7 linked regions of the Nothobranchius furzeri genome follow. The protein of the gene in region 4 purifies or fractionates together with the protein of the main gene of each other region. This does not show direct contact. Links are inferred from orthologs where the notes say so. Each region holds a gene or a part of one and is shown on either strand. Other genes may lie near its edges.

Region 1 (4,328 bases), on a different chromosome or scaffold from region 4:
CTGCTCAGTGAGAAACCCAGCAGGTGGAGGCAGACATAAATGTTAAACTAGCAAGAGCAATGTTTTAGTTTTCCATCCTAACTCACCTCCTCTTCCTCTGGACCTGGACGAGTATCCTCCTCTGCCTCCCCAGTACTGCTGCTGCTGGTACACCTCCTTTGACACAGCCACCTTTACTTCACACTAAAGTCAAACATTATTAATTTATTATGTCTTCATTAAGGTACAGTCATATAATGAAATCTGATTGGATGAAGTGATTGCACCTGGCTGAGTCCGATGTTGTGGTACTTCTTCTCCATAATCTTCTTCACTGGCTCCTCCTCTAGAAATGTGATGAAGCAGAAGCCTCTCCTTTTGTTAGTTTTGTTCTCCATGGGAAGTTCAATCAACTCCACCTGATTAAATCATAGTGAATGCATTCATGATATATTGGGTTTTATTTAAAAAGGAAAATGCAAGCAAAAGCTTAACGAATATAAAGTGAGGCGTGTGTGTGTGTGTATGTGTCACACCTCTCCAAAAGCACTGAAGTACTCTCTGACTTTGTCTTCATGAGTATCTGGAGACAGACCACCAACAAAGATCTTCGTCACAGGCTCCTTGGCCTTCATGGCTTTGGCTCTTTTGGGGTCGATCACCTTCCCGTTGAGCTTATGTTCCTTCTGTGATGCAACCTTCATGAGGACAAACGCCAACAATAAACCAGTTAAACGTAGAGTCAATCAACAGTTCTATGGATGGTTTGGCCTTTTGATCAAACAACTGTCAGGGTTCGTTTTTCGGGCTGCGAACATCAACAGAGACACCGTGGATATGAGGAGATAATAAAGGTCACACAGGTCAGGTCAGTGAAGGTGGTCCATCATCTGGGTAGGCTGTGATTTAATCCTAATTCAACCTACAGCCTCCTGCTGATGTTGTGATGAAATAGGATTTTTTATGTTTTATTATTTTCTGCATTGAACAGAATTTGATCCACTCTCCAACTTTTCTGAAATGAGACCGTTGGGTTCAAATAAAATAACAAACAAAGCCAAACATTTCCTTTGGTGTTATTTATTTCTTACGCCCTTGTACCTTGGCACAAACATGTGACTAAAGCAGCTCAAAGACATTAAAACCTAATATATGGATCCATTATGGATTTTATAACCTAAATTACAGACATGTCCAATTGGGTTTTTTGCATCTGCAGAGCATGCTTCTCCCACAGCCTGAGGCATGACTACTGAATGAGGAAACAGATTTTTTATCTTGTTATAAATGTTTTACCCTCTTACATTATCCTACAGTCTGCTGTGAACGAAGAGCTTTTGGGGGATGGTGTGTTGTGTCAGATTTTTTAAAAGCACATATCTGTCATCCTCTATTTATCAATGAAAGCAAACCCATATGAAATAATCGTTATGAATCAGGATATTGAATCTAATCGAGTCATGAGACTAGTGAAGATTCACGCCTCTATAAGTTTTATTTATTTTCCCTCAATCTAATTTTTAAAAAACTAATAATGAAATAAATTGAAGTTTTATTTTTTCTTTCAAAAAATGACAACAAATCTATTATATTTATTATCCTGGCAGCAACCCAACCTATATATGTGTAGTACCACGACCCATAGACAGAGCTCAGTCATAGGGCGGGATCTACAGTTGTCTTTCAAACGGCCTCTGCATGCTACTGGACAGTACTAGGACCAATAAGAGCAACGAACAATATAACATATTCATCGCTACTTAAATCAGTCTGCCATACACATAAGAAGCAAACACATGCTGTTTGTACCTCTATCTGCTCATGCCTCAAAGAGAAGCCCAAGTCTAATTTTCCAAAGTTCATGCCAAAGCCATTGAAAACAAGCGCAGATTATAAACCATTGCCATCTTCGTAGTTTTTCTCCACTGCAGCTCTTACATTAAGCCAAATGTTCGAGCCAACTGTAGACCTGCTGAGGCAACATGGAGCATGACTAGACCGACCTGCAGACCAAAATCTTTTGCTTCTACTACGGTTGGTCAACATTTCTAGGCTAGGTATTTACGAAAGAGGACAAAATACAATTTTTGACTTTACTCTCAGAAAAATTCTAATTTCCAATTTTAATCTCATAATTCCAATTTTTTCTCTCTGAATTCTAAGAAGAACGTTTTTTGTGACCCTAATTCTCTTCTGTAGACATCACTCAAGAATTATAAATGGTTTCTTCTCAAAAGGATCCTGTAACATTTGCAGCTCTAAACAAGTTTTATTAAGGTGGACTGAGGAGAAAAGTTCTTTGGATTGCAAAGGTTGCAAATGATCTAGAAGCACAGAAGCTTTCTGTTGGAAAATGGTTCATTTCTAGAAGGAGTGCCTCCTGCTGATGAATACGCTTGAGGCATGAAATAAAGGAGTATCATTCAATAAACTCTAGATTAACCTCCTGCTCCACACTTATTGTTTTGCAGCATTAAAATAAAAGAAGGACCGTACCTTTTCAACACTTTCCGGTTCTTTGAAAAGTACAAAGCCGAAACCCCTTGATCGACCAGTCATGGGGTCCAGTTTTAATGTGCAGTCAACAACCTCCCCAAACTTTGAGAAGTAATCCTTCAGGTCCTTTTTAGTGGTGTCCCAGCTGAGGCCTCCCACAAACATCTTCCTATTAATGAAACAAATGGGTCAGGAAATATAAAAATCAGTGTCTGTGAAGAGCAGCTTGCATTTTTCCCACCCCTCCATCTGCCATCTGGGGGTCAGCAGCCTAAGCAGAGAGGCCCACCCTTCCCTCTCCCCAGCCACTTGGGCCAGCTCCTTTAGGGGAATCCCAAGGTGTTCCTTGACCAGCTGAAAATGTAGTTCTTCCAACTGTGTCCTGGGTCATCCCTTTGGGTCTCCTCTAGGGTTGTCACGGTAACCGGTATAGCGGTAAACCCCGGTAAAAAAGTTGACAATAAAAATAACCGTCCAGTTTTTAAAAAACTAAATTATCTCGGTGGGTTTACCGTGGCCGCGGTTTCGGCGCGGTGACCCTTACCAGCCACCGTCGCTTCAGCTGAAGTTCCCGCGGCGCGCACACGCACTTTTTAGTTTGCAACGGCACCAAAACTTTGAAGCTGAAATAATGGCCGAAGGAGGAGACGGCAGCGCCCAGGACATCCATCAGCCCTCAAAGAAGACTAAATCGGAAGTATGGGCATATTTTGGATTTCTGAAAAATGCTGAGGGACAGTTAATAGAAGACGGCTATCCCGTTTGCAGAACGTGCAGGAAACAAGTGTCTGCAAAAGGCAGCAACACTTCGAATCTAATGGCACATCTGCGTGACCATCACCCACGTCTCTACAGCCAGTGCAAGGTAAGTTAACATTAGCATTTTAGCTCAAATGCATGACGTGAGGACTTTTGGCTGAGGGAGAATGCAACGAGTCACTATAGACTGCAGCCGCAGCGTCCTCTGCCAGCATTTAAACCGTGTCACGGACACCCTGTTGCTGGATGAAGCATCTTATTTGTTGATGATGAAGAGAAATATACAATTAGTTCCTTGTCAATTTGATTTGTTTACTTATTCAATGCCATTTATACTTGAACATTTGGATTTGATTACATAGTGTAGTAGTTATTTTAGTAATTTGTTTAAAGTGGCTATTTATTTCAAATACATATTTTTTAAGGTTGACTTGTACAGTGCTCAAGTCAAGTGTGGACTGGAGTTTTAGATTTTCATTTGGATAATGAAGAAAACAAGTATATGAGAAAACAAGTGGTGTTTCTTTGATTTGTTTACATATTGTTTATGTTTTGAATGTTTAGATTTGTGTAATTTAAACCTGCACTGACTACTGTAACATGTTCCAGAAAAAGAAGCTATTTGTTCCTTTACTTGTGAAAAGTTGCACTTTTGCTAAGGCTTTGTGTTATTTTAGGTTTAATAAACACTGTTAAACCTTTTCAGAACTATTTCAGTTTGTGTAGAACAGGACTATCAATGCTTTCTGAACATATGCAACACCGTTTAAAAAATACCGCGATAATACCGAAAACCGTGATAATTTTGGTCACAATAACCGTGAGGTTAAATTTTCATACCGTGACAACCCTAGTCTCTTCACATTTGGACGTGCCCAGAAAACATTACCAGAGTCATCCATGAGGCATAACCAGACGCCCGAGCTACCTCAACTGGCTCCTCTCGATGTGGAGAAGCAGCAGATCTACTCCAAACCCCTCCCAGATGAGCGAACTAGAGCACCACCCCGGTCTGCCAATCGAGTGGACCAGCGACAGAGGAGTTTTTTGACTGCCTCAGTGACATTGGTTCCAGAGATTGGAGAACCCAACCC
Region 2 (3,377 bases), on a different chromosome or scaffold from region 4:
ACGTCTGAAACAACTCTCAAGATATTTCTGCTTTATTTATCCATCCATCCATTTTCATCCGCTTATCCGGAGTCGGGTCGCGGGGGCAGCAGCCTAAGTCGAGAGGCCCAGACTTCCCTCTCCCCAGCCACTTGGGCCAGCTCCTCCGGGGGAATCCCAAGGCGTTCCCTGGCCAGGTGAGAGACATAGTCCCTCCACCGTGTCCTGGGTCTACCTTTAGGTCTCCTCCCGGTTGGACGTGCCTGGAACGCCTCACCAGGGAGGCGTCCAGGAGGCATTCTGACCAGACGCCCGAGCCACCTCAACTGGTTCCTCTCGATGTGGAGGAGCAGCGGGTCTACTCCGAGCCCCTCCCGGATGACCGAGCTTCTCACCCTATTTCTAAGGAGAGCCCAGCCACCCGATGGAGATAATTTCATCTGCTTGTGTCCGCAATCTCGATCTTTCGGTCACTACCCAAAGCTCGTGACCATAGGTGAGGGTAGGAACGTAGATCGACCGGTAAATCGAGAGCCTCGCCTTCTGACTCAGCTCTCTCTCCACCACGACAGACCGGTACAACGCCCGCATCACTGCAGATGCAGCACCAATCTGCCTATCGATCTCACGCTCCAGTTTTCCCTCACTCGTGAACAAGACCCAGAGATACTTAAACTCCTCCACTTGGGGCAGGACCTCATCCCTGACCCAGAGAAGGCATTCTACCCTTTTCCGAATCAAGACCAGATTATATATTTATTTATATAAAAACAAAACATGAAGCCACCAAAAGACTGATGAGGGATCAGGTGAAGATCCAGAAGGTAATTAAAACCTTTGAGGCTCACTCACCTCACGTCGTCCCAGGCCTGGAAGACCGACAGCAGCGCCACGTGATCCGAGAAGCGGTTCCCCGAAAAGTTCCTGTGGACGAATCCGAGGCGTCTCCCATCGCTGATGAACGGCTCCGGAAAACAGGAGGCGGCTGAGATGGTGCACATGGCATCTCCAACACTGAGGGGAGAAACACGTCAGTCACCCCATATCAGAGGCAACAAGTCAGGAGAACCAGAGAGGAACCCACTAAAAGATGCAGCCCATGATCATCATCTTCCCCAGCCGAGGTTCGATGGGCAGCCGAGCCAGAATCCGACCCAAAGGAGTCAGCTCATCGTTGGAGTCCAGAGCGTCCAGCTCTGCAACACAAAGGTTAAATCAGCTCAAACCACCGAAGCATCCCACAGATTACCACCAGGTGTTCCAGTAATGCCTCCGTTAGAAAGCCCCTCCCACCTCTGGTCCGGGTACCCCTAGTGTAGCACACGGTGGACGGTTTCATACGCACGAGTCGCACTAATAAGCACCAACATGGAGCCCAGCTCGGGTCCCAATATGAGAGGAACCCGATGTGCAGCTCCCGTCCAACGAGGGCAGCTTTAACTGGTTCGATCAGGGGACTTTCTGGTCTCCAGTCACTCTGCTGGTCACCTGCTGCCTGATGAGGGGATTGCTCCTGGAAGGAACAGGTGAGCTGCTGCAACAAGCTTCCGTTTCAACAGAAACACACGACATGTGATGTCACATGCTCAAGATCCCGCCCCCAGCTTCTGGTAAAGTACAGTCAAGTGTTTTTTTCTACACGATTCCCTTTCCTTCACAAGGAAACTCAGATTTCACAGATATGACAACATGAGTTCAAGGGAGTCTTTCCAACATCAGAACATCCTTTTCTTTAACACCAAATATCACAAGCTGTTTCAACTAAACAATCAACGCCATGGCGGCGTCAGGGAGCCTTAGGTCGTTTTTAGGTGGTCAGACCGTGGCAGTACTGTGGCGGCATAACGGTGGTATAGGGCAGTCTCTGCGCTGCCACGGACTTCCGTTAGTTTTTACTGCAATTGAAGCCACGATGGTTACGTATTTTTTAACAAGCCGCTCCTAACTGTGTCCGTCCTCCACAGCCCCGGTGTGGTCTCTGGTGATCTGAGCTCCAGCTCTAACGGAGAGAAGCTCTTGGATGGCTGCAGCCTTCACTCTGCTGTCTCAGCTGTTTTTGTTCAAAACGCAAAACTTGCAGTCGGAGTTTACTTTCATTTTCTATCGAGTTGCTGGCCGGAGCTCGGCATTAACTCCCTACGTCATCATGACGCCTCCCTCTGTCGCGCCGTCTATTAGGCAGACAATTACCGCATTATTACCAAGCGGGCCGAACGAATGATGCTAAATTTGTGCAACGCCATGCCGGTAAGGTGTGTTTGTAAGACACAGAGACACTGAGAGGCGCCGAGCAGGGCTGGGCATACTAGTTGCCCCCCATCTTGGTGCCTGTGCGTTGGGGTTTACCCCAGTGAATGAGAGGGTAGCCTCCCTCCGCTTACGTGTGGGGGGATGGGTGTGCTTTTGCACCAAACTACAGTTCAGACTACACACTCTTTTTGGAGACCCTGGAGGGGGTGCCGGAGAGCGCTCCTTCTGGTGACTCCCTCGTTCTGCTGGGGGACTTTAACGCTCATGTGGGCAACGACAGTGAGACCTGGAGAGGTGTGGTTGGGAGGAACGGCCATGATCTGAATTCGAGTGGTGTTTTGTTATTGGACTTCTGTGCCAGTCATGGATTGTACATAATGAACACCATGTTCACACATAAAGGTGTCCATATGTGCTCTTGACACCAGGATACCTCAGGCCGAAGCCCGATGATCGACTTTGTTGTTGTTTCATCTGACCTGCAGCCGCCTGTCTTGGACACTCGGGTGAAGAGAGGGGCGGAGCTGTCAACTGACCACTACCTGGTGGTGAGTTGGCTTCGATGGTGGGGGAGGATGCCCATCAGACCAGTCACTGGACCGACCGTGGAACACTGGACCAGCTCTATACCCTTAGGGGGATCCTGGAGGGTGCGTGGGAATTTGCCCAACCAGTCTACATGTGTTTTGTGGATTTGGAGAAGGCGTTTGACTGCGTCCCTCGGAGGGGCCCTGTGGGGGCTACGCCGGGAGTATGGGGTACCAGGCCCTCTGTTATGGGCTGTTAGGTCCCTGTATGACCGGTGTCAGAGCTTGGTCCGCATTGCCGGCAGTAAGTCGGGCTCGTTACCAGTGAAAGTTAGACTCCGCCAAGGCTGCCCTTTGTCACCGGTTCAGTTCATAACTTTAATGGACAGAATTTCGAGGCGCAGCCAAGGAGTGGAGAAGATCTGTTTTGGTGGCCTGAGGATCAGGTCTCTGCTTTTTGCAGATGATGTGGTCCTGTTGGCTTCATCAGAACGTGATCTTCAGCTTTCGCTGGAGCAGTTCGCAGCCGAGTGTGAAGCAGCTGGGATGAGAATTACCTCCTCTAAATCTGAGGCCATGGTCTTGATTCGGAAATGGGTAGAATGCCTTCTGCGGGTCAGG
Region 3 (4,328 bases), on a different chromosome or scaffold from region 4:
GCAAAGCATCCCTTCCCACCAAGAGCGTTTCAGATGTGAAATGGCAGCGAAAGCCTTCCACAAAGCTGGTACCGCATTGTCATCGGAGAACTGCAAAATTACACCTGATTCTAGCAGTATATGAGCATCAAGCAGGAAGACGGCCCCGTGTTCCAACAGGTCAAGGGTTTACGTTCTTTAATGTGGTTTTTATTGCATCTTATTTCTAATTTTTAAAATGAGCCTAAAATTGCCAGTGTAGTGCCCTCTTAAGGTTAAAAGTCAGAACTACATTTGAATTTCAGTCATAGCTAATTGCTAAGCTGGTATTATCTAGGCTAGCCAGTATTTCTAGCATGGCCGCATTACACCGCAGATGAGTCTCGGCCTCTCACAAGAAGATACGAAACGATACGGCTCGGAGCCTTTCACCTCCTCCATTAATCCTTCTGTTTTCCTCTCCTTCCTCTGGTGAAGAAATGCTTCATACTAGGAAGCCTGCTGCTGTTTCACTATCCGAGCAACGTGTGTGTGATGTCATTGTCGGTCACTGGTGCAGTGCAGTAAGACTCCAGTCAGGGTAACTTGTACTTTAAGCAACTGGAAATTTTCACACCACTTTTATTGTGAAAGTTTCAAGATGTTTTACACTGCTTTTGTATGACTTCCTGTTTGCCCTGATGTGAACTGCTGAGCTTGATGCGTTCTGGAAGCGTAGAGAGTAAAAAGTAAGACTTGAAACAAAAATTTTGTAGAACAATGTAACACTACTCTTCAGGGACGCATTTAAAAGGCTGCATGGAAATACTCATCCACTGTAACAGCGGCTCATTGAAGGATCCCCAGGGTTCGGTCCTGGGACCAATCCTTTTTCCTTCTATATTTGCTCCTTCTCAGGCAAATTCTAATGTCACTTTTAGACCGCGACATGCAGTACTGGCGTGCTTTTAGCACCTCCTAGTGTCCACTAATAAAACAAAAAAATGAAACATTTCTCCTTGCTGTGCGTTGGTCCTTTTAACCCCTTAATCCAACAGCTGAAATGTCTCCCCAGGCTTCATTAGTGTCCACAGGGGCGATTCATTTTTGGCATCTAAAACATGCAGGAAACCTGCTGGAAGCAGACTCCAGTGAGTTTGTCAGCTCCGCTCTACTAAGTGCAACAGGAGGCGGCCCACCACTCTGAAGTTGCAGTGCAGTATTCTGGCCAAAGTGGGCGGTAGGGCTGAGTGACATTTCATTAACCCTGTAATGGGTCATTTTAGCGCATACTGGCTCAAGAAAATGATTTAAAAATATAAAAATGTTGCAAAGTATATAAAATTGATGGACGTTCAGATTATTTCATCATGTAAGACCTATAGTTAGCCGGCTCATTTAAAACATTGTACGTTTTTTGACCCTGTCTATTGAAAGAATCTAAATCACTCGAAACCAGAATTGAAACAAGTAATTGGAATCGAATGTGTTCCTATTCAAACATGTCCAACTCTACTAACTGCTGTTAGTTATGCTTTGCAGACGTTATTTGCTGCAGTGGATGTTGTTAGTTTTTTATTTATTAGTTTCAGTCTACAGTGGGGCAAAAAAGTATTTAGTCAGCCACCGATTGTGCAAGTTCTCCCACTTAAAATGATGACAGAGGTCAGTAATTTTCATCATAGGTACACTTCAACTGTGAGAGACAGAATGTGAAAAAAAATCCATGAATTCACATGGCAGGATTTTTAAAGAATTTATTTGTAAATCAGGGTGGAAAAATAAGTATTTGGTCAATAACAAAAATTCAACTCAATACTTTGTAACATAACCTTTTTTGGCAATAACAGAGGTCAAACGATTACTATAGGTCTTTACCAGGTTTGCACACACAGTAGCTGGTATTTTGGCCCATTCCTCCATGCAGATCTTCTCGAGAGCAGTGATGTTTTGGGGCTGTCGCCGAGCAACACAGACTTTCAACTCCCTCCACAGATTTTCTATGGGGTTGAGGTCTGGAGACTGGCTAGGCCACTCCAGGACTTTCAAATGCTTCTTACGGAGCCACTCCTTTGTTGCCCGGGCGGTGTGTTTGGGATCATTGTCGTGATGGAAGACCCAGCCACGTTTCATCTTCAAAGCTCTCACTGATGGAAGGAGGTTTTGGCTCAAAATCTCACGATACATGGCCCCATTCATTCTGTCCTTAACACGGATCAGTCGTCCTGTCCCCTTAGCAGAAAAACAGCCCCAAAGCATGATGTTCCCACCCCCATGCTTCACAGTAGGTATGGTGTTCTTGGGATGCAACTCAGTATTCATCTTCCTCCAAGCACGACGAGTTGAGTTTATACCAAAAGGTTCTACTTTGGTTTCATCTGACCACATGACATTCTACCAATCCTCTGCTGTATCATCCATGTGCTCTCTGGCAAACTTCAGACGGGCCTGGACATGCACTGGCTTCAGCAGCGGAACACGTCTGGCACTGCAGGATTTGATTCCCTGCCGTTGTAGTGTGTTACTGATGTTGACCTGTGTTACTGAGGTCCCAGCTCTCTGCAGGTCATTCACCAGGTCCCCCCGTGTGGTTCTGGGATTCTTGCTCACCGTTCTCATGATCATTTTGACCCCATGGGATGAGATCTTGCGTGGAGCCCCAGATCGAGGGAGATTATCAGTGGTCTTGTATGTCTTCCATTTTCTGATAATTGCTCCCACAGTTGATTTTTTCACACCAAGCTGCTTGCCTATTGTAGATTCACTCTTCCCAGTCTGGTGCAGGTCTACAATTCTTTTCCCGGTGTCCTTGGAAAGCTCTTTGTTTTTGGCCATAGTGGAGTTTGGAGTCTGACTGTTTGAGGCTGTGGACAGGTGTCTTTTATACAGATAATGAGTTCAAACAGGTGCCATTAATACAGGTAACGAGTTGAGGACAGAAAAGCTTCTTAAAGAAGACATTACAGGTCTGTGAGAGCCAGAGATTTTCCTTGTTTGAAGTGACCAAATACTTATTTTCTACCCTGATTTACAAATAAATTCTTTTAAAATCCTGCCATGTGAATTCATGGATTTTTTTTCTCACATTCTGTCTCTCACAGTTGAAGTGTACCTATGATCTAAATTACTGACCTCTGTCATCATTTTAAGTGGGAGAACTTGCACAATTGGTGGCTGACTAAATACTTGTTTGCCCCACTGTAGGTCACACCCCCCTGCATCTAATCAACACGACTCCCTCACAATAGAGGCTAATGACTCATCGGGGGACGAGAGGAGGGGTTTTCAGAGTAGTTTCTGCTCGTTAAATAACAACAGATAGCTACAGCGTATAAACTTGACTCTCCCGTATTCCAGTCAGAATTGACAAAGTTCCTTGGATGAGAAGCGAAACGTCTTCAAAAAACCAAAGAAGTCCAGTTGCCTTCATTTGAACCATTTTGGGTTACCACGACCCGGATGACTGAACATTCACCAAAAATGCTGGGTTTTATGGACTCTTTGATCTTTTTTAATGGGATTTATAAATAGAAAAACATATCATCATCTGAAATGACCCAATGTAAAAATTAGCAACTAAAGCAGAGTTTCGTTTGTTGTTACCACGTAAACTGTGCGGTCGTCGACGTTTTTCGGTGGGTCTCCGAGTGGATGTTGACGTCTGACTTTAGTTCCTTCGAGGTTGAGCTAAAACACAAAAGCGTTTAGAATGTCATTTAAACAGTGACAGTCACGAGTAACGAGAATAAAAAAAGTCATCACCTCCACTACAGATGAGTTTCTCAGTGCTCTGGCAATCAGTTTAGTGTCAGTTGTCAGTTTCTTCATCCGACTGAAGCTCGTCAAAACAGAAATATCAACATCTACAAGAAGTGGAAAACACGTCAAGCTCTGATCGAGTCAATCTGAGATTTAGAACTAGCACTTTCAGACACTCACATCCTTTGTCGGACTCATCGATGAGCTTTTTCAGAAAGCGGTCCTTGTACAGGTTGACGTCTCCAAACCAAAACTCCACTTGCTTCTTTATGTCGCTGAGCAGCTGTTTAACTCGAGACCTTTTTTTTCTTTCCATCTCCTTGTTCTTCTCCATAGATGTTACTGCATCAGCTGCTTCTTTCTCTGTGTTCAGCATCCTGGCTGTGGGGTGACAGCGGAGCTCTTTAACACAGACACATTCAGAAAGAGTAGACGACTGTGGACTTGTCTGTTTACGGGAGTTTTTGGGAGGAACGAGACCTAATTTAATCACAAAGCGACAGAATGAACGACGGTCTCCTACTGATAATACAAGCTGCTAACACACAAGCAGCACGCACATGTCTAGAGCTGTTTACATGAACACAAACAATGAGAGTCAAGACTTTTTA
Region 4 (4,760 bases):
CATGAAAATTATTTTAAAACTACGAAAAAGTTGCAAAGTATCCCTTTATATAAATGTTCTTGTGTTATTAGGAACTGAAATTTGACTAGTGTTTTTTTTGTATTATAGAGTAAGACTTACTAGCTTCACAGCCTTTTGTGCGTCATCTTTATTGCAGTATGTGATGAAAGCATAACCTCTGTTCTGACCAGACAGGGGGTCCATCATTAACCTGAGGTCCCAGATGGCACCAGCAGACTCAAACAGAGGCACAAGCTCATCTTCATAAAGATCCCTGGGGATTTTCCCAACAAACACCTGAATAAAACAAAAGAAACAAACACACCATCAATGATATCAGCATCTAACTGAGTGAAAATTAGAAACAAAGTGTTTTTAAGTAGTGGATTGGTGTAGTCAACTAAAAGTCCAAGTCCAACCTAATAGTCCATTTCCAGAAATCACTAGATTAACAATTTGGGCACATTTTCAAATGTCTTTCATATTTTAGTTATAATTAAGATCAAAGCTCTGCTGCATTTTGGTCACCATGTATGAACAGAGTTTGCAGAAAATTTCATCACTTTATATATATATATATATTAGGGCTAGGGGTAAACGATTATTTTTAAAACGATTATTCTGACGATTATTTTATCGAATAGTCGACTATTCTAATGACTATTTAGAAAATTAATCTAATGATTATTTTTCTATTGCACAATTAACAAAAACCAGAAAATCTCAAATAAATTCCTCAAAAAGAATTGATAAATTCTTACTGTAAGAGAATAAACACTACAGGCCTTCCATTTTGTATAACACTGTGTTTATTGTGTTGGTTGGTTATGTTCTGATGACGTGTAGAACTTGGGAGTGCAGGCTGCTGCCTGAGAGGTGGTAGAAGATGGAGTGTCTCCATGCTGCTTTGTTTTGGTCACTTATGTGCGTGAGGCGAGTGGTCTTACGGGTTAAACCAAACTCAGGTGATATTTTACACTAAACCGAAAACCCACAACACTCTAAATGTAATAAAAGGGAGATCTACACCACAAAAAATATGAACTCTAAACCAAAACGTAACAGCTTATCCCAACGCAAGAAGCTGTTAGCGAAGATGCTAACAGTAGCTTTACCAACATTAAGTTCAAGTTACCAAGTTTAAATAAACCAAAAACACCCAGCAGCAAACAGACCAGCATGGAGGAGAGACTGCTACCACCAAAACAGCTCTCCTCATGTCTGAAAGAAGCTCCTTAATGAAGGGAGAAGCGCTCCCGGTGATTTTCTACATCTGCGATAGACACGAAGCAGCGCATCTGACCCCGGAAGTTGTTGTCCGTTGCCGGGAGACGAAGGGGCAAAACAGGAAAATAATCTAGTAGTGGACGGACGTTGTTCCGGGTCTTCGGTATTTGGCGGAGATGTTAGTGAAGGCGGAGAAGAGGGCGAACTAGAGGAAGAACAGGCAGATTCCTCCTCTATTTACAAACTCCTGGGGATGCAAAAAGTGGGCGCGGTGCGTCGACTTCCGGATCTGACGTCGACAAATTTTTAGAATCGAGCCGTCGACTTCGTCGAGGCTTCGCTACAGCCCTAATATATATATATATATATATATATATATATATATATATATATATATATATATATATATATATATATATGAAGCACTCCTACCTCAGTTCCAATCCCTGGTTGTGAGCCTGTGTATACGTCCTCAGGTGGAGGGCCTCCATATTTTCTCTGCCCTGTAGTCACGTCCAGAGTGTATCCTGTCCTCTCCAACAGAGACTTAAAACAAAAAACAATAACTAAACATTAGTTTCAGATCTAACTTTAAAGCTCACTTTTAACATTTCATACAAATGTGCATAAAATAATTCACCTTTATTTTGGACTCATCTGGACCCTTGGTGGACTCTTGTACCTTGCTTCCTTGTTTTTCCCTCTGTCTGTATGTTTTCATGACTCCACAAAGGAACGCACTTTTATTCTACAAAAAAATTATATAAATACAAATGAAACATAAAGCACTTTGGATACAATCACAGCTTCAGACAAATATTAAAATGTTACCTATAAACATGAATACCTGCACATGAGATAGGTCACTCTCTTTGAATTGCTGCAGCACCGTGAGCGCTCCCTCTTCATTGAACTCTCGCAGAGCATCAATGGCCCTTTCGTCCAAGTCAACATAAGCCACCAAGCCTACAGTAAATTTTATATACATATGTAAAAACACATACACACACACACATATAAAACAAAATGTCAAACAATTTGGAGACATATATATATATTTTAATTTAGCAGCTCATTTTGGAGCGATTACTGACCTGTCTGGAAGATGTTATCTAGACTTTCAGCGACTTTCTGAGGCAGCCCAGCATCAAGTAGTGTTTGGTAGTTTTCTGTGTGTGTTATTGACACATCCATTGGCTCTTCTTCCTCCTTTAATGGAGCAGAACTCCCATTCACCTCAGCAGCAGCCATTCCTCTGCAATATAGCAATCAAGAGAGACATGTCTTTTGATTAATCTGCATTTGCGTAATTATTTTACTTATAAAATCTAGAGATCATATAATAATTTGCGTTTTCAGCCTGTAGCAAACAAAAAATACTCTCACTTCATAGATTTCTTGCTTTTTGATCGCAACTGCTGACATTTGCTAATTCAATTAATTAAAATTGTTGTATATGCTATTAAATGAAGGATGAGATATAATATATATATATATATATATATACACGTTTACATAAAAAATAGCCAGGTTTTCAAAAAGAAACAACAGATAGCTACAGCCCCGCCTCCTTCGCATGCAGCCCGCTAACTAGCCAGATAAATACGTTTAATTCTGATATTTACATGCACGTTTTAAAAGAAAACGAACTCAATTAAAACTTAACAGAAGATTTAATGACTATATTTCAAAGCAAGATGGGGATTTCAAAATGTGCCTTTTCAAGTAGCAGCGATAGTTAGCCAAAAAGCTAACTATCGAAGCTTACGCGCAGGCCTCGCGGTGCCGACAAACGCCTCTCACATATCAAACACATAAAAGGTCCAAACTGATAGTTAGCAAAACTTACCAGCCTGATTCAGGAAGCCAATTACACCGTGGTTTAGCGCGCGAAATTATTAATTTTATTAACGAACGAAAATGCCCAAACAAAGTGTACTTATATCTCTACCACGAGACAATTTTTCCAGACACCAACGGTCTCGTCGTCGGCTCGCCCGAACAACGCAACCGCTCAGCAAATATCGCGAGACCAGAACGAGAAATCATTGAAGGGGGTTTCATGAGAATCATGGCTGCCGTGGTTTCTGTTTCGCAGATACGAACAAAAATAAAACGAAAAACTACGTATTAGCAGGCAATACTTGCGGTGAAGTTGTGATCCCGACTTCTTATATTCATTTCGCAGCATAACGAATCAATTTTGTGATTTCATGAGTATTTTCTGGTCCATTTGTATTTTGTCTGTTTAATTGAATTATCCTCGTTTTGTTGTACTTTTACACTAAAAAACAAAACATGCAGTGTGACTGCAACAGGTAATTTTACTTCTACTTAAAATGCACGATATCTGTATGCAGATAGTTATTTTCTCAAATTTTAAACTGATGTTCAAGATTCTGTTGAAAGTATGGAAAACATACGTTCACAACACTGATGATGGAAAAGAATGCTTCCTTTTTATCCAACTGCTGAAAAGGGATTTTGATTATCTTGGAAGAAACAAATGCACATGTTTTGAACACCAAGCCAAATGTTTAAAAATCCAAAGCGAATTAAATGCATATTTTGACAATGTAGGAAGATTAATCACTTTATTATTTCAGCATGATGAGTCAGAAGGACCTTTCATGACTAAGACCTGCAGAAAGTACAAGTGATAACGACATGTTCACAAGCGGTTCTACTCAGGAAAGAATTGACAGTTGGCCTCTCCCCCTTAATCGTCGTGCGTGAGCTTTCTGATTTTGCCCTTGTGGCGGTCGATCTCCTTCTGTAGGCGTTCAATCTCCTTTTTGTGGTGCTCGATCTCTTCTGAATGATGCTTCCTTAGTGCCTCCAACTGCTCCCGTTCCTTCTGCCTGCAAACAAATGCAACACAGAGACGGTCAAGAAAACACAATACAATGAAAGTAGTAGTACAGTATTATCACTATGCCTGGCATCTCACCGGAAGTACAGCTCCTCCTCTGCTGCTTCTCGCTTTCCAAAGGCACCTCCTGCTGACCTCACATAGCCTCCACCACCACCACCTTTCCCTGCTCCCTTTCCCAATTCACCAAGCTGGAAAAAAACAATATTTTTATGTGATTGTAAATCTCACACTAGGAATGTGCTTTATTTTAACACTTTCGGTTATGCATCACATATCAAAATGTTTAATTAATCTAAGTTATGAGAATCCTCAAAATACCACCTGAAGTTCTTTGATATGAAGTAGGGCTGGACGATATGGAAAAAATGCCCATCACCACAATATTTTTCATATCAGCCAATACTGACCAAACTATTTTTGGCAATTTCTATTACCCTGTATTATTAGGGGAAATCTGAAGCATGCATTTCACACTAGCCGGTTCGGGTGCTAAAACAGATTAGTGATATTCTCAGACTTTGTTCGAACATGCATTTTATATCATTTAGAGTGCACCTTACATTTATCGGATGACTTTAAATAGCCTGTATATGTCAACACATTTGACACCGATGCAAGTTGCATTTTTCTCCATTTTTCTTCTTTTTTTCAGGACAGT
Region 5 (3,648 bases), on a different chromosome or scaffold from region 4:
TGCCGCTGGGAGGGATCCTGTCTAGAAACAAGGAATTGCACCTTCAACACAGAAGTCCTGTGACAGCAATGCTGGATCTCAAATGTGATGATGAACTCTTTTTGTTTGTTTGAGGAGACAAAATCGTGCTGCTTGGTGAGAAGGAAGTCACTACGATGAAACACTCCTAACACACACTAGAGGGTTTGATCAGAATCGGTGGTGGATATACTCAGACTAATGATGTAAATGCACTTTGGACTGATGCTTTATTTGTTTTTTTACAGCACATGTAAAATTTTGTTGGGTGTAAAATGATAATTTATTATTCTGTGTGATTTATAAACCATATTATTTATTTCATCAACCCAAAACAAGTCATCCTCGCTGCATTGCACTGTAAAATAGTGACGTTGGCATTCTTTTCTATGCAAATTTAATTTTGAAGACCTTTAAGTAAGTTAATATAACTTTCTCTGTTAAAATGTGTTGTTTATTTGTGATTACTTAAAAATTACTTTTAAAATTCATGTTTAATCGCATAAAAAGCAGAGAAGATGGTGTATTTATCGTAATTTTGTGTGATAATTATTTTCTGTGGAATATCATAACTATGGTTTGATTTTGATAGTTCAGTCAGCAGGCATCTCGTGCTGGGCAATAAGCTTAATCTGTAAAAAATAAAAAATAAAAATAAAGAAAGACTATCAACTTTAAAAATAAACATGTCGGTAAACGATTTACAATGATCAGGTATAGCTGAGTTGCAGCAGCTCAGTGCTTCACTAAGAAAACATATTTTACAACAAACAGTCACACATTTGATTAATTTATATTACACAAACAGCAAAATGTTGTATTTAGGAGAATTATTGTCATAAACATATTTAATTCAATCCACTTGGACTGTCAGGGTTCAGCTCAGGCAATTAGAACCAAGTTTAAGAGTTTTTTATACGTGGAACTGCTCTCAGGGCTGGAAAAAAAATATTAACAACTAGACACACAAAATGATAATTGCTGCAGCAATCAGAACCAATTGTAAAACTGTACATATGATTTTTTTTCTCTTATAAAAACCTCATTTGAAATAACTGCAATAATTTTGGGACCTCATAACAACCAAAATCAATTATTCAATTACTGTGTTTTTAAATAAATATTTAATCTGATTAAATATTATCAAATGGACATGCCAAACATTAAGCCAGTACTGTATGGACAATACTGTCAAACTAATTAAAAATGCAGAACAGATCAAAACCACTCTCCTGCCTGAAAGCACACATACATATACATGTAGTGATATGTGAATGTAATTTGAAAAAGTGGCTGTAAAATTCAAGATGTGAGGCCCCAGTTATATTTTGAAAATGTAATTTATTGCAAATAAATTATTTTTCAACCCTAATGTTGATTGTGCACTTAGTTAATATGGTCTTGTTTTTGTAAAAGGTATATATTTTTACCAGTAAAATGGTTATTTGCTGAGCTGCCTAGGATTAGCTTCGTCTCAGTGGGGGAGGATGGTGGAATTTTCCATGTCTTGCTGGCCCTCCCTCACACAGTTTGTGCAGTGTAAGCTTACTTCAAGCACATTTTGCGCATTTTAATAAATTGTCCTCATGTATAATTGTGATACATGTGTCACCACATTTCGATCTTGGTCAAAAACCCTGACAACATTATTCAATACTTTACTGTATCAATACTCATTAAATCGCTTGAAATGTTCACTTTTCGTTCGGTAACGCGCCAAAACGTTTAAAGCTGGAGGGAAGACCGTCTATTGGTCTTCCTTCTGACACGTGACCCGCGTGAAACTGGGTGAACAAATAAACAACCAATTACCTTTGTCTATTGGTCAGACTCCTCGATGATTGGTGTAGAGCCAGAGCAGCCAAACCAATAGTTACTGGCTTCCTGGAACGTTTGATCTCCTAAAGCCAAACAAATGAGAGCTTCTCTCTCTAGCATCCAATAGTAGTTTGGGGCGGGACTAACGTGGAGGCTTATATATGGCTCGGCGAGCCTTTTTTCTTTCTACTTTGCGATTTTCTGCATTGAAATCATATTCGTGGAAGAGATCTTCAACAATGTCTGGAAGAGGTAAAACCGGTGCTAAGGCCCGCGCCAAGGCGAAGACCCGCAGCTCCCGCGCCGGTCTGCAGTTCCCTGTGGGCCGTGTTCACCGTCTCCTCCGCAAGGGAAACTATGCTGAGAGAGTGGGCGCCGGAGCTCCTGTTTACCTGGCTGCGGTCCTCGAGTATCTCACCGCCGAGATCCTGGAGCTGGCTGGCAACGCCGCTCGGGACAACAAGAAGACCCGAATCATTCCTCGCCACCTTCAGCTGGCTGTCCGTAACGACGAGGAGCTGAACAAACTGCTCGGTGGCGTGACCATCGCTCAGGGAGGCGTGTTGCCTAACATCCAGGCCGTCCTCCTGCCCAAGAAGGCCGGCCAGGCAGCACCCAGCTCCGGCAAGGCGGGAAAGAAGGCGTCCTCTCAGTCTCAGGAGTATTAGCTTCACGGCTAACCACAATGAACCCAAAGGCCCTTTTAAGGGCCAACCACCGACCGAAAGGGCAACTTTTCTAGTTTATCAATGTCGCTCAAAGCATATTTTGTTTGGGTTATTGAAGGCTTGTGTTAAGGTAATTTCTTTCAGGCTAGATCCTTTGCTAAGAAACAAGATTAGGCTAAATTTCCCCAGTTAGCCTGAAATGTCACTTGAAAATCTTCATCCTGAGTTTATTTTTCATCCTTGAATGTTATTTAAAGTAGCAACTCTTCTGCAACTGACCAGATCCAATGCTAGCTGCACACACTGGCAACTAAACATTTGTTATGCATTGCACTCAGGTTCTCAGGGCTGCTGTATGTTTTCATCATGTGAAACGCCTGTTCACAACAAAACGGTTTCATTAAAAGTTCTGCAAGACAACATCTGTCACCTGGAAACGTGTTTGTGTGGTGGTGAAGTCTCAAATGAAATGTACTAACGGCTGTCTATTCAAGCAGCTCCAGGTGTTTCCTTATTGCACATGGAGAAAAACACGCGAGCAGATAGTGTTAACATTCATGGCTTCCTCTGTGGTTTCTTTTACACGTTTTTCAGTTCTTGTCCCTGTACCACTGACTCAACTTACTGGACTGAGGGGTGATGAGCAGTCCGATAAAAACTAACTTCAGAATCCCTGCAGAAAAAATAATAGTACTTGCAAAGTAGTAAATTGCCTGTATTTGTATAGCCCTTTTACCCCAACCCCCCCCACACACACACACACACACACACACACAGTCATTCACCCATGCACGCACATTCACGCTGGTGGTGATGGAGATCCGGTGTAGCTACAGCTGCCCTAGGGAACACTGGCAGAGGCGAGGCCTGTTGTACACTGGTTCCTCCGACCACCACCAGACAAGGTGGGTTAGTCGTCTTGCCCGTGGACACAACAGCAGCATTCTCTGACAGCAAGGGTCAAACCTACAACCTTCTGATTACTGGACATCCCACTCTACCTCCTGAGCTGCTGCTGCGTGTCCAAATCATCACTTTCAAACATTAAAAGAAAAATCTGGAAGCTGTGTATGAAGACATGAGGAGTGTTATGTTTGCTGAGGTGAAGGTGGGGATGTTGTTCACTGGTTTTACCACCAGAGGT
Region 6 (4,952 bases), on a different chromosome or scaffold from region 4:
GAGAACGATTCAGAAAATCGGGGTAAAGATTGCATTAACTGCAGATGCTGGATGAAGTTTCAAAGACATGCAAATATAAATAAAATGAATGCACAGCAGCAATTTGAGGTTGGGCTGCAACAACAGAAGTTTGTAATGTGACGTTTTGTCATCACTTCAAATTTTTAAAATGAAGCTCCAGTGGACCCAGAGCTTCACCAACTACTCCAGTTTTTGCCAACCCTTCATCAATAAAGCCAACATGCAAACCTTGGTGTGAACCTTGGTCGGAAGCCTCTGTAGTAGTTCTGCCTCGCCGGTTTGTTCCCCTGGTCTGGACCTCCTTGGCCCTCATCAACCTCACCTCCCTGAAAACAAACATTTAACCATAACGGACGCTTTTTTTAGTGACACACCCACTTTAGAAACTTGAAACCATCTAAGTTTTTTGTTTTAATTCTTTTTTTTTTTTTTTCAAGATTTTGTTCACAGTTTTGTTGTTTTTCATTGACAGGAGGGGCTCACTTCCAAGACCCCCGATACACCAAGATTAGTTGATCACAACCACGTTTGTGAAGAGGAGAGTAGCTCGTCTACAACAAAGGGTTTTAATTTTGGAATGGGACAACTGGGTGACTGTTTCAGGATTTTAGCCCTGTGACAGCGTACCTCAGTCATCTCTGCGTGGTGCGTTGGGTGTATGGGGCCTGCGGCCGTAGCGACTACGTACAAAATATGGTGGGTAGCGCCGTCTGCCAGGGTACGCTGGTCTGCGCTGTGGTTGCTGCGAATCTCCATCAGGGATGTTATCTCCACCCTCTCTGCTGCCTTTGTCACGTCCTCCACTGCCAGGCTCTCCCTCGTCGCTCTGGTAGTTCTCTGGATAGTCTCCTCCACGGGGAGGCCCCCTCCTTCGTGGGTAGCGTCTGTAACGGTTCCTGTCAGCAGCGTACTTACTCCCCTGGACTGCAACTCCTCCTGGGCCAGTGACATTTGCTGCCTCTGCTCCCTGTGCACAAGAAAAAAAGGCAAAGTAAATTAATCATGATGGAACACAATGTCCTTTAAACAAACAAATCAAAGAAACTTACTTTTTCTCCCTCAACTACATCAAACTCCACAGTTTCTCCGTCCCCAACACTGCGAAGATATTTCCTTGGGTTGTTCTTTTTTATGGCCGTCTGAAATTACAAATAGTTTGAATGTCAAGTCTGCTTAACCACAAATTTCAATAAATGAATAAAAACTAAAGCAACAACTGACCTGGTGTACAAAAACATCTTCCTTTGTATCGTTCCTAGACAAAAGAACAGAATCTTAGTTAGCTGCATTCTGCTGAGCCTCTGCAAACAGACTTAAAACTAAGCCAGTGGGGATTAATTAAGTTCTGTGGGTTGCAACAGGATGGAGATGAGCAGAAAAATAATATGGTCAGCCAAGTACGCAAAGCATAACTTAATAGGATTAGCATGCTTCACTCTCACCCACACCCAGAAATGTACTTTGACACAGGGACCAACAGGTGACTCACCTATTGATGAAACCATATCCATTCCTGACGTTGAACCATTTGACTGTACCCAAGACTTTTGTTGCTGCAATCACAGTCAGAACAAGATTATTAAATACCATCGTCTGCCTGACATGCATTTAGAACAAATCCATATAGCTTAAGTGAAACTGAAACGCTTCCATCATGATGGGACACTTAACGAACTACATCAGAACTATAAAAACATTAAAAACTATGGCCACACATAACGTAGAGGTTATATTTAACCCGCAACTGTCACTCCTATTATAGACACTGATGCTTAGGAGACCCCAGGGCCAGCTGCTCCTAACATGAGCCACCAGTAAGAAAATATCCCAGTAACGATACAACAACTGTCCCAAATGACGCATCCAAAATGTCCCATAATGCATGACAAAGATGAGGATGCAAACAGCGACCAGTCTCTGCACTCGCATGTTTAGTTACTGCAGACCTGCTGCTCCATTTTAGGACGCAGAACCTGAAGGTTCACACGTGGTTGGGTCGCACCCGGATACGTTAACGAGCTGTGAGCTGTGCTCTGCTGGCTATTAGCATGGCTGTGTGGCTAAGGTTAGTACCATGTGGTTGGAGTAGAGCCAGCAAAGAGAAACAAACAAACGCGCATTACTAAACTACATTAATCCGTATTTATTGGTATATATGATAAAGATTTCGGTTTTGAATTAGTTTTTAGCGAACAAATTACAAAGCAGCGGGAAAAAACGGGAAAACACACGGCGGACATTTTGGACGGCCTCCCCTAAAGCCATGTAAATAGCCACTTAGCTGGCTAGGCTAATGTAGCTAGGTTAGCAACCGATGATCTATAGTAAAGTATTTAGGCCACACCGACAGCACGCAAATTCAACCAAAATAAGACCGCCATTGACGGATGTAGCTGGAGTCGCTAGCCAACAACGTTTCTTCTGACAATTTGGCCAAAAAAATCGGGACTGAACGCTTTGGAAAAGGAGAATATTTTAGATAAAATGCCTTGACATGGAATCAAGACTCTTTCGTGCGAACAAAGAGATGGTTAAGCAGCTAACGTTCGTAGCCACTGTAGTTATTTCACATGAACCGGTGTTATAGAGCATTTGGTAGGATTGTTCTGCAATTATTGGCGGTCCAGATGCAGTTATGCAGTTATTAAACCCTAGTCAAAACATCGTGGTTCTGGCAACGGTTGGAAGTGACAGCGAGCATCCATGTGATGACCGGCCGGATACACGCGACTCTCAAACGGATATTTGACGTGAGGAGGCCGATGAGCAATGGAGATAATCAGAATGGAATTCACGATTTAATCTGTGAATAAACCACTCAATTTTTAGAAACTAGACTAATAAAAACCGTTAGATTGAATTTTTTGGACCATTATAATAAGAATGCCCAAAGGAGTGAAGAATTTATCCGTCAACTGGCACTAACGTTTACCAACTGGAGCAAATTAATTTGACGTGGCTGAAATTCTCACGCAAGAACGGCAGCTTTTATTCAAATGCTACATCCACACCCAAGAGCGTATAAATTATAAATGATAACTCCGGCTCGGCTAGCCTAAGAATTCTTACCGATGACCTTCTTATCCCCCGCGGAAGCTGCGGGTGCCGGGCTGGATGGGCTCTCCGCATCCGCAGCAGGCTGTGGAGGTTGTTGCGTCTCGGCCTCGCTGCTCATGGTTACTACTCGTTGGTAATGGCTTCAGCCGGCGGCGGCTCTCTGATATTTTTCCCGGTGCTAGATGGTAACCTGGGCCGGCGGTGGTGGGGGCTACTGCCTTCGGGCTCTCAGCTTTCTTCTTTCCGCTCCCGTTGCCGATCGAACTGGGCAGAACAAGAGACAGTGCAGGGGAATGTTCCCAGGCGAAGACCCGCCCATCTCGTCTCCTGATTAGCTAAAATATGTAGAATTGAACAAATCTCCTTCCAATTGGCTATTGAGACTGTCAATCTTTTTTGAGCAAAGCCTTTGATGAAATTATTGGTCAAAAAGACGTACAGAAGTCTCAACGCCCCCAGTGACGTAAAAGCGAGAGAATTCTGCTTGTGACACTTCCGATAGTATTATGCATTTTGAATTATGTCATACAAAACTGTGAACCATACATGTGGTATGTTGCAAATGTGACAACTTTATGTTTAATTTATTTTGTCGTTTCTAGATAGTTGAAATAATTACTACTATTGTGATGTTTACCGTGGGAACATTCTAAGAAAAGACAAATAAACACCCCATAAATATTAGCAGGTAAAGACAAAGGTAACTGCAGAATCCACTCATATTATGTTCATGCACCACTGGCACCCTTTACAAGCACAGGCCAATGTGTGAAGCGCATGCGGTTAATCTCTCTCTCTCTCTCTCTCTCTCTCTCTCTCTCTCTCTCTCTCTCTCTCTCTCTCTCTCTCTCTCTCTCTCTCTCTCTCTCTCTCTCTCTCTCTCTCTCTCTCTCTCTCTCTCTCTCTCTCTCTCTCTCTCTCTCTCTCTCTCTCTCTCTCTCTCTCTCTCTCGGAGTTAGTGCTGCTAGATTAGACAGATTTTATGTCTCTGGTAAAAAAAAAAAACAGCTTGGGCATTTCGTGCAAGAGAGGGCCAAAGGGGCCTTGATCCGGGCTCGTTTCACCACATTACAGGACATGGATGCTCCAACATCCTTCTTTTTTAACCTGGAAAAGACTTTCAAACCAGAAAAAAACAAATGGTTGCTCTTCGTCTGTCAGATGGACAGTTATCCACAGACCCAGTGGAGATGAGGAAGTATGCAGGAGAATTCTATACCAGCCTATTTAAGGCCATGTGATGTGAACTGTGCCAGAGAGCTGTTGCAGGGGCTCCCTTCCTTGACCACAGCAGACCAAGACATCTTAAATGCAGACATAACCATGGAGGAGCTTACAACGGCAGTCTCCCAGATGGCTGCAGGAAAATCTCTGGGGATAGATGGCTTACCTGCTGACTTCTACAAATTCTACTGGAGCAGTATGGGACAGGACCTGATGGATGTTTTTAAAGACTCACTTCAGACAGGAGCACTTCCTGCATCGTGTAGGTGGGGCGTTCTGTCCCTGCTGCCGAAAAAGGGGACTTAACCCAACTAAAATACTGGAGACCAGTTTCCTTGTTATGTTCAGACAATAAGATTTTTTCTAAATTCTTATCAAACAGACTTTGGGGATTCATCGGAGGTCTAATCCCAGACGATCAGTCCTTTTGAATACCAGGAAAGTAATTAATGGACAATTTATTTTTAATGAGAGGCTACGGGCCTTTGGTTTTGGGGGGTCCTTTCTGGAATGGATTAAGATGCTGTATAGGAATGTCAGCTGTATGGTGAAGGTAGCGGAGGGCCTGAGTCAACCCATACCAGTTTTAAGAGGAATCAAGACAGGGTTGTCTCATCTCAGGACAACTGTATATTTTAGCTAATGAACAA
Region 7 (5,101 bases), on a different chromosome or scaffold from region 4:
TAGTGTCATAGTTCTGGAGGAGAGACGGGGTTACACCCAGCATTAGCAGCGGTGACACACTCGTTCTAGAGTTAACACTAAGGACAGGTTTCATACTAACCACTCGGGCAACAAACAGCGTCTTGAACGCATCCCCTTGTGCATTTGGGTCATTATGGGGGTCCCCTGAAATCACACATACAACATAGCGTCAACATAAACCCTTGCACCACAGCACACATCTGATGTCCCACTCACAAAGCTTCAGTTCTGTCTCCAAAACCGTCTGGCGTCTCTCGATCTTTTCCCGCCTCTGAAAAACAGGACATAAAACTCTTGAGTCACAACAGGAAAACAAAAGGATGCGTGACATGATCCAGACCTGCCGCTGATGCGTTTTCTGAATGATGATCTGATGGGTGTCAAATATAGAAACGAGGGCTTCACCTAATTACATGTTTGAGTAGCGGCGCTGTGTTTAAGACAGAAAGGTGGGTCATCAGGCATTCTGCTGCACCGATGTTCACACAGAGCGTTAGGACCTGAGTGTTTTGTTTGTCATCGTAAACTCAGCTGAAAAGAGCAGAGCACCTAGCAGTGAGAAGCCTCACAGGTCGCTGGCTCCTGGGGGTAATGTTCACATTTCTGTGTTTGCACGTTGACAGAAGACATCTGAAAAAGCCCAGGTTAATGAACCTAAATAACTATTACCGTGTGTGTTTCAGTGACAGTTATATCTCAGTTGTTTCAGGTAACAAGTTATACTTGTGCGCCAGCTCCAGGTGGGAGACGCGAACGCACGGAAAGAGACGTTTCGCTCTCTGACTTTTCCGTCTCCTGGGAGTGTTGCAAAGCAATTCCCATGTCTTGTGAGTTAACGGTTAAACTTGTGTGCTAACTAGGCGTCGACCGATTTATCAGGCCGATATTTTGCATTTTTTCATCATCGGCCGATAAGTCTCTTTAGTAGAGCCGATTTAAAGCCAGGCACCTCCGCGGGCAGCCCGCTGCTGCTGGAAGCCGGTGAAGGACCCCAATCCAAAACACTGGGAGTATTTACGTCTGAGTAAAAGGAGAAGCTTCTCTCTAGCGTTTCAAACCCCTACAGCTGTGTTTTCAGTGTGAATTAAAAAGTAAAACATGAAATAAAACTTAGGTGAGTGAAAGAAAACGAGCCGTAAGAACCGCCGGTAACCGGCAGCGCGCTGCTAACGCTTGGCAGCTCGACTCAGCCACGCGTCGCTTCTGGTGATCGGTTCTGACGAAGAACTGACTTCCAAAAACTTGCATTTAATTTTTTTAAAATCTCGCCACGGGTCTCCGGAGCCCAGCGTGGACTTCCCTGACTCGGTACCGACCGGTGCGGGCTACAGAAACGCCCTCAGGCACGAAGATAGAGGCGTTGTGTCTCTTATCTGGAAACCCGGGGAATCGATGTCCAGACAGGCTGGAGTTGGTGCAGCTCTACTCTCACACACTCTAGTTTATCAACATGAACACAACCAACCATAGTAAACACACACTGAGCCAACATCATCGGGCCAGCTGCTAAAAGGGGCATTGTGGTTTGTAAACGAGAACATCCCTACAAAACAGGAACACCCACTTCGTCGTATTCGCTCCTGAAATGTTACTTCACCTCAGATATTCCAAAATAAGAGATTTTCTCTGCTCATCTATCTGTTCTCTGGCTTTGCATTGTTGTACCAACGGGTTACGATTTGTTATGGTTGGACTTTTGTGTTGGAGGGGGTGTTCTCTGCCGATTGTGTGGAGAGTTTCGGTTTGGTTGTTTAGAAAGAGAAGAGATTGTTAACGTTGATTTTCCTGGAGTTAAGGTGTGGGCCAACAGTAACCCGAATAAAGATCAGATACAGAAAGAACAAGTTGGGTAATTACTAGAGCTGTAGCGAAGCGTCGACGGCTCGATTCTAAAAATTCGCCGACGTCAGATCCGGTAGTCGACGCACCGCGCCCACTTGTTGCATCCCCAGGAGTTTGTCAAGAGAGGAGGAATCTGCCTGTTTTTCCTTTAGTTCACCCTCTTCTCCGCCTTCACTAGCATCCCCCAAATACCGAAGACCAGGAACAATGTCCGTCCGCTACTAGATTCCTTTCCTGTTTTGCCCGCCTTAGTCTCCCGGCAACGGACAACAACTTCCGGGGTCAAATGCGCTGCTCCGTCTCTGTCGCAGATGTAGAAAGTCACCGGGAGCGTTTCTCCCTTTGTAAAGGAGCTTCTTTCAGACATTAGGAGAGGTGTGGGGACTTTTATTTTGCCGTGGCGGTGCCACACGATCAATTAGTTTAGACTTTTATTTTGACACGTCTAACAGGGGAAATTACGTATTTTGATGCCCATTCCGATTGGTTGGTGAGAAGCTACAGTAACCCCCATAAAGGCGTTTTTCTGTAGCCCAAGTAGAAACGCCCGCGGCTGGCTGGACCCTGCTCCACTGAGCTGAGGCTTTAGTTACGTGACAGGTAAAAAAGGAGCGTTTTTAGAAGCTCTGCTGAGAAAAGTCACTTTTTACTCCTAAAACTGTGCCGTTGTGTGTTCATAAACGAAATATCCACAATAAGCATTTCGGCTAGTATTTTTGGACAGCATTTTACATGAATTAGAAAACAAATTTTACCTGCAATTTGCTCTTTTAATTATACCTGCACTAATCTAGTGATGGTCTCACCTTCCTCTCCAGGCGCTCCTCCCGGGTCTCTGCTCTGGTCGGTGGGGGGGCATCTCTTGGGTCCTGATCCCAGAACACAAACATTTAGGAGGCACATCAGAGACGAGCGTAGGAAGAGGAAAACCGACTAGAGCGCGTTTCACCTCAAAGTGTCGGATGAACGGAGCGATGCCGCAGTACGGTTGGTTGTGATGCTTCTCATGGGGCAACTTCTCCAGCTGCGGCAGGAAGGGTATCGGGTCCCGTGGTGCGAACAGGGCCAGCAAGTTCGGCGGTAGAAACTGTGTCATCTTTCACTGAAACACGACAGAGTGTGATTGTTACACAATCCGACCGCAGAGCAGGGGCGGCGGGTACTCAGCTAGCGACACTCTGATGACTGTGGTTCATCTTCACCTGGTTAAATCCGCTCATAACTAACTTAGACCCGATGATGAAAACTACTGATAGTAGAGCTGTAGTTATAAAAACGTCCGTTCTCACTTGCACTGTTGCCTTTCTTCGTTTACTTTATGAAGCGCTTCGTCTTAGCCTAAGCTAACAATGCTAACACGAGCTTCGCTACGTCTTACCTTCTTCTCTCCTCCGGTGTTCGACCGAAATCAAACCATGGACCTGAGGTGATGCCGAGTGGGCAGTTCTCCAAAGCAAGATGTGCTTCTAAAGGGTCCGAGCAGCGGTTTAATTTTAAAGGTTCAAAGCTCCAACGTGTCTCGTGTAAATGTCTTAGTTAGCCGTCTCTCAACAACACAAAATGGCGGTTTTGTCGTAAACCACAAAGACTGCCGTAAAGTCGAGAACACCGCCAAGCTCACAGAGAAGGAGGTCTACGCTGCAGCTTGTAGCACGGGGCGGGGAGTGGGCACAGGGTACGACCATATATGGAAAAGGTTCAAAAGGAGACATCTCGTGCCTTCTCTCCTTTTGAACCGTGCTTTTTTCCAGTCAGAGAACCACTCTGCCATTTATTAGTCATTTGTTATAACCCTTTCACTATGTTCTCATGGCTCACAAACACATGTCTAAATAAACAATTTTAGAAAATTTAAATTTAAATGTAGGTTTATCTCGTATAACTACAGGATCCTGAGATACTCTATTTTTCCACAGAAAACCATATTTGTCCCGTCAACACAAGTTTAGACTAAACCCAAAGGAATTCAAATTTCCCAGCTTCCATCCAGCATTCAAACACACCATGTGCGCACAAATCAGTCAGGTGCATGGTCAGGTGTGAAAAGAGTCTTAAAAGTATTTTTGGACTTAGGAACTGATCTGTGTGTAATGTAGTTTTGTCCGTGATTACCAGGTGATTTGTGTGTGTGTATTCAATGATTTGTATGTGTAAGAACTGAAGTTACACACAAAAATGTAAACACAAGTTACAAATCAAGAGTTACACACACAAATTTAGATACACACTCACAGATCTTTTGAAACTTTTTTTTCTCCCCATAAAGGTGCCATTGCTTTCCGGAACTGAAGGCGGCGCTATTTCCTGTTCCAGTTGCGGTATCTCAATTAAAAATACAAGTTTTCTGACTGGTCATTTTGAAAAGTTTACCGATTGAAAATATTCAGTGAATGGATTCACCACGGAAAGCACACAAATTCAGCAAAGGGTATTTGCGCATAATTACAGCAAATTGCAAATGCATTTTATGTTTTGTTTTATTTTATTAGAGAGAATAACATTATTAGTAGTGAAACTGCAACATTGTAATTAGGCTAAAATGAGCACATGGCAGAAAAAACAAGCTAACGCTATCGGTATCAGCTTTTGTCTCCAGTGTTTGATATGATTGGAGGAATTGAGTTTGTCCTTACATGTGATTTTAAAATAGAAAAAACTGCCAATGAAGTTGACGCCCATTCTTAAACAAGCTCTTCTACGCAGGAAACTCATGTACAACCACAATTTTACACCCCACCAAACACCAATCTGGAGCAGTAGGTAGGTACCTTACCTTAACGTTGCGCACATTTTTCCGCCAGGTTTTCTTTCATAAGTCCCAAAGTTTGCGTGGAAAGTTGCTCACGCAGTTTTCCGACCCCGTTTTGTGAGTAAGCAAGCTTGATAAATGAGGCCCCTCTCTCATTTATAAAACATGGCGTAGAATCCTTACTAAAACCGTACTTAAGCTCAGCAAACGAATGTACTCACGCCAAGCAGGTTTGTGACCTACCAAACATGGAGTACGCACAGCTGCAAGCAATCTCCGCTTTATAAATCAGAAACTATCTAGAAAGGTTCTCAAGTGTTTCTGGATCACGTCCCGCCCTCAACATGCCCACTTTCTGCCATAAATGTTCAATGCAAAGTGCCTTGTGGATCTCATGCATATACATAAGCCGGCTGTTGCAGCGCTCCGCCATTAACAATGTCGACCGCAGATCAAGGAAGCGGTATTTCACAGAAGCAGAAATTGAGG

What was found.
Region 1: the proteins of heterogeneous nuclear ribonucleoprotein R (region 4) and heterogeneous nuclear ribonucleoprotein D0 purify together in Homo sapiens (affinity purification with mass spectrometry; 4 studies listed by BioGRID and IntAct, with this or other methods). This does not show direct contact. The link is inferred for Nothobranchius furzeri from reciprocal best matches to the Homo sapiens genes HNRNPR and HNRNPD.
Region 2: the proteins of heterogeneous nuclear ribonucleoprotein R (region 4) and dhx9 fractionate together in Homo sapiens (co-fractionation; 3 studies listed by BioGRID and IntAct, with this or other methods). This does not show direct contact. The link is inferred for Nothobranchius furzeri from reciprocal best matches to the Homo sapiens genes HNRNPR and DHX9.
Region 3: the proteins of heterogeneous nuclear ribonucleoprotein R (region 4) and larp7 purify together in Homo sapiens (affinity purification with mass spectrometry; 4 studies listed by BioGRID and IntAct, with this or other methods). This does not show direct contact. The link is inferred for Nothobranchius furzeri from reciprocal best matches to the Homo sapiens genes HNRNPR and LARP7.
Region 5: the proteins of heterogeneous nuclear ribonucleoprotein R (region 4) and h2ax purify together in Homo sapiens (affinity purification with mass spectrometry; 3 studies listed by BioGRID and IntAct, with this or other methods). This does not show direct contact. The link is inferred for Nothobranchius furzeri from reciprocal best matches to the Homo sapiens genes HNRNPR and H2AX.
Region 6: the proteins of heterogeneous nuclear ribonucleoprotein R (region 4) and ybx1 purify together in Homo sapiens (co-immunoprecipitation; 5 studies listed by BioGRID and IntAct, with this or other methods). This does not show direct contact. The link is inferred for Nothobranchius furzeri from reciprocal best matches to the Homo sapiens genes HNRNPR and YBX1.
Region 7: the proteins of heterogeneous nuclear ribonucleoprotein R (region 4) and snrnp70 purify together in Homo sapiens (affinity purification with mass spectrometry; 3 studies listed by BioGRID and IntAct, with this or other methods). This does not show direct contact. The link is inferred for Nothobranchius furzeri from reciprocal best matches to the Homo sapiens genes HNRNPR and SNRNP70.

Annotation. Positions count from the first base shown.
Region 1 is NC_091746.1:62,885,276-62,889,603, forward strand, and holds part of heterogeneous nuclear ribonucleoprotein D0, read right to left. Parts: intron 2,645-4,328; coding exon 2,476-2,644; intron 678-2,475; coding exon 516-677; intron 399-515; coding exon 267-398; intron 184-266; coding exon 87-183; intron 1-86. UniProt on the Homo sapiens protein: Binds with high affinity to RNA molecules that contain AU-rich elements (AREs) found within the 3'-UTR of many proto-oncogenes and cytokine mRNAs.
Region 2 is NC_091751.1:34,755,559-34,758,935, forward strand, and holds part of dhx9 (ATP-dependent RNA helicase A), read right to left. Parts: intron 1,176-3,377; coding exon 1,064-1,175; intron 994-1,063; coding exon 832-993; intron 1-831. UniProt on the Homo sapiens protein: Multifunctional ATP-dependent nucleic acid helicase that unwinds DNA and RNA in a 3' to 5' direction and that plays important roles in many processes, such as DNA replication, transcriptional activation, post-transcriptional RNA regulation, mRNA translation and RNA-mediated gene silencing.
Region 3 is NC_091742.1:73,345,313-73,349,640, reverse strand, and holds part of larp7 (la-related protein 7), read right to left. Parts: intron 4,120-4,328; exon of another isoform or gene 4,099-4,119; 5' UTR 4,094-4,098; coding exon 3,898-4,093; intron 3,822-3,897; coding exon 3,721-3,821; intron 3,646-3,720; coding exon 3,562-3,645; intron 1-3,561. UniProt on the Homo sapiens protein: RNA-binding protein that specifically binds distinct small nuclear RNA (snRNAs) and regulates their processing and function.
Region 4 is NC_091759.1:6,952,358-6,957,117, forward strand, and holds the start of heterogeneous nuclear ribonucleoprotein R, read right to left. Parts: upstream 3,228-4,760; 5' UTR 3,077-3,227; intron 2,483-3,076; 5' UTR 2,479-2,482; coding exon 2,322-2,478; intron 2,194-2,321; coding exon 2,075-2,193; intron 1,976-2,074; coding exon 1,868-1,975; intron 1,774-1,867; coding exon 1,660-1,773; intron 298-1,659; coding exon 121-297; intron 1-120. Other genes in the region: atp5if1a (ATPase inhibitor A, mitochondrial), read right to left, coding at 3,947-4,088, 4,178-4,290. UniProt on the Homo sapiens protein: Component of ribonucleosomes, which are complexes of at least 20 other different heterogeneous nuclear ribonucleoproteins (hnRNP). hnRNP play an important role in processing of precursor mRNA in the nucleus.
Region 5 is NC_091750.1:47,426,998-47,430,645, forward strand, and holds h2ax (histone H2AX), read left to right. Parts: upstream 1-1,974; 5' UTR 1,975-1,997; coding exon 1,998-2,504; 3' UTR 2,505-2,926; downstream 2,927-3,648. UniProt on the Homo sapiens protein: Variant histone H2A which replaces conventional H2A in a subset of nucleosomes. Nucleosomes wrap and compact DNA into chromatin, limiting DNA accessibility to the cellular machineries which require DNA as a template.
Region 6 is NC_091755.1:32,515,045-32,519,996, forward strand, and holds the start of ybx1 (Y-box-binding protein 1), read right to left. Parts: upstream 3,374-4,952; 5' UTR 3,197-3,373; coding exon 3,091-3,196; intron 1,575-3,090; coding exon 1,511-1,574; intron 1,277-1,510; coding exon 1,243-1,276; intron 1,161-1,242; coding exon 1,071-1,160; intron 989-1,070; coding exon 710-988; intron 348-709; coding exon 250-347; exon of another isoform or gene 1-249. UniProt on the Homo sapiens protein: DNA- and RNA-binding protein involved in various processes, such as translational repression, RNA stabilization, mRNA splicing, DNA repair and transcription regulation.
Region 7 is NC_091758.1:13,866,257-13,871,357, reverse strand, and holds the start of snrnp70 (U1 small nuclear ribonucleoprotein 70 kDa), read right to left. Parts: upstream 3,425-5,101; 5' UTR 3,242-3,424; intron 2,966-3,241; 5' UTR 2,960-2,965; coding exon 2,813-2,959; intron 2,733-2,812; coding exon 2,670-2,732; intron 293-2,669; coding exon 238-292; intron 166-237; coding exon 101-165; intron 14-100; coding exon 1-13. UniProt on the Homo sapiens protein: Component of the spliceosomal U1 snRNP, which is essential for recognition of the pre-mRNA 5' splice-site and the subsequent assembly of the spliceosome. SNRNP70 binds to the loop I region of U1-snRNA.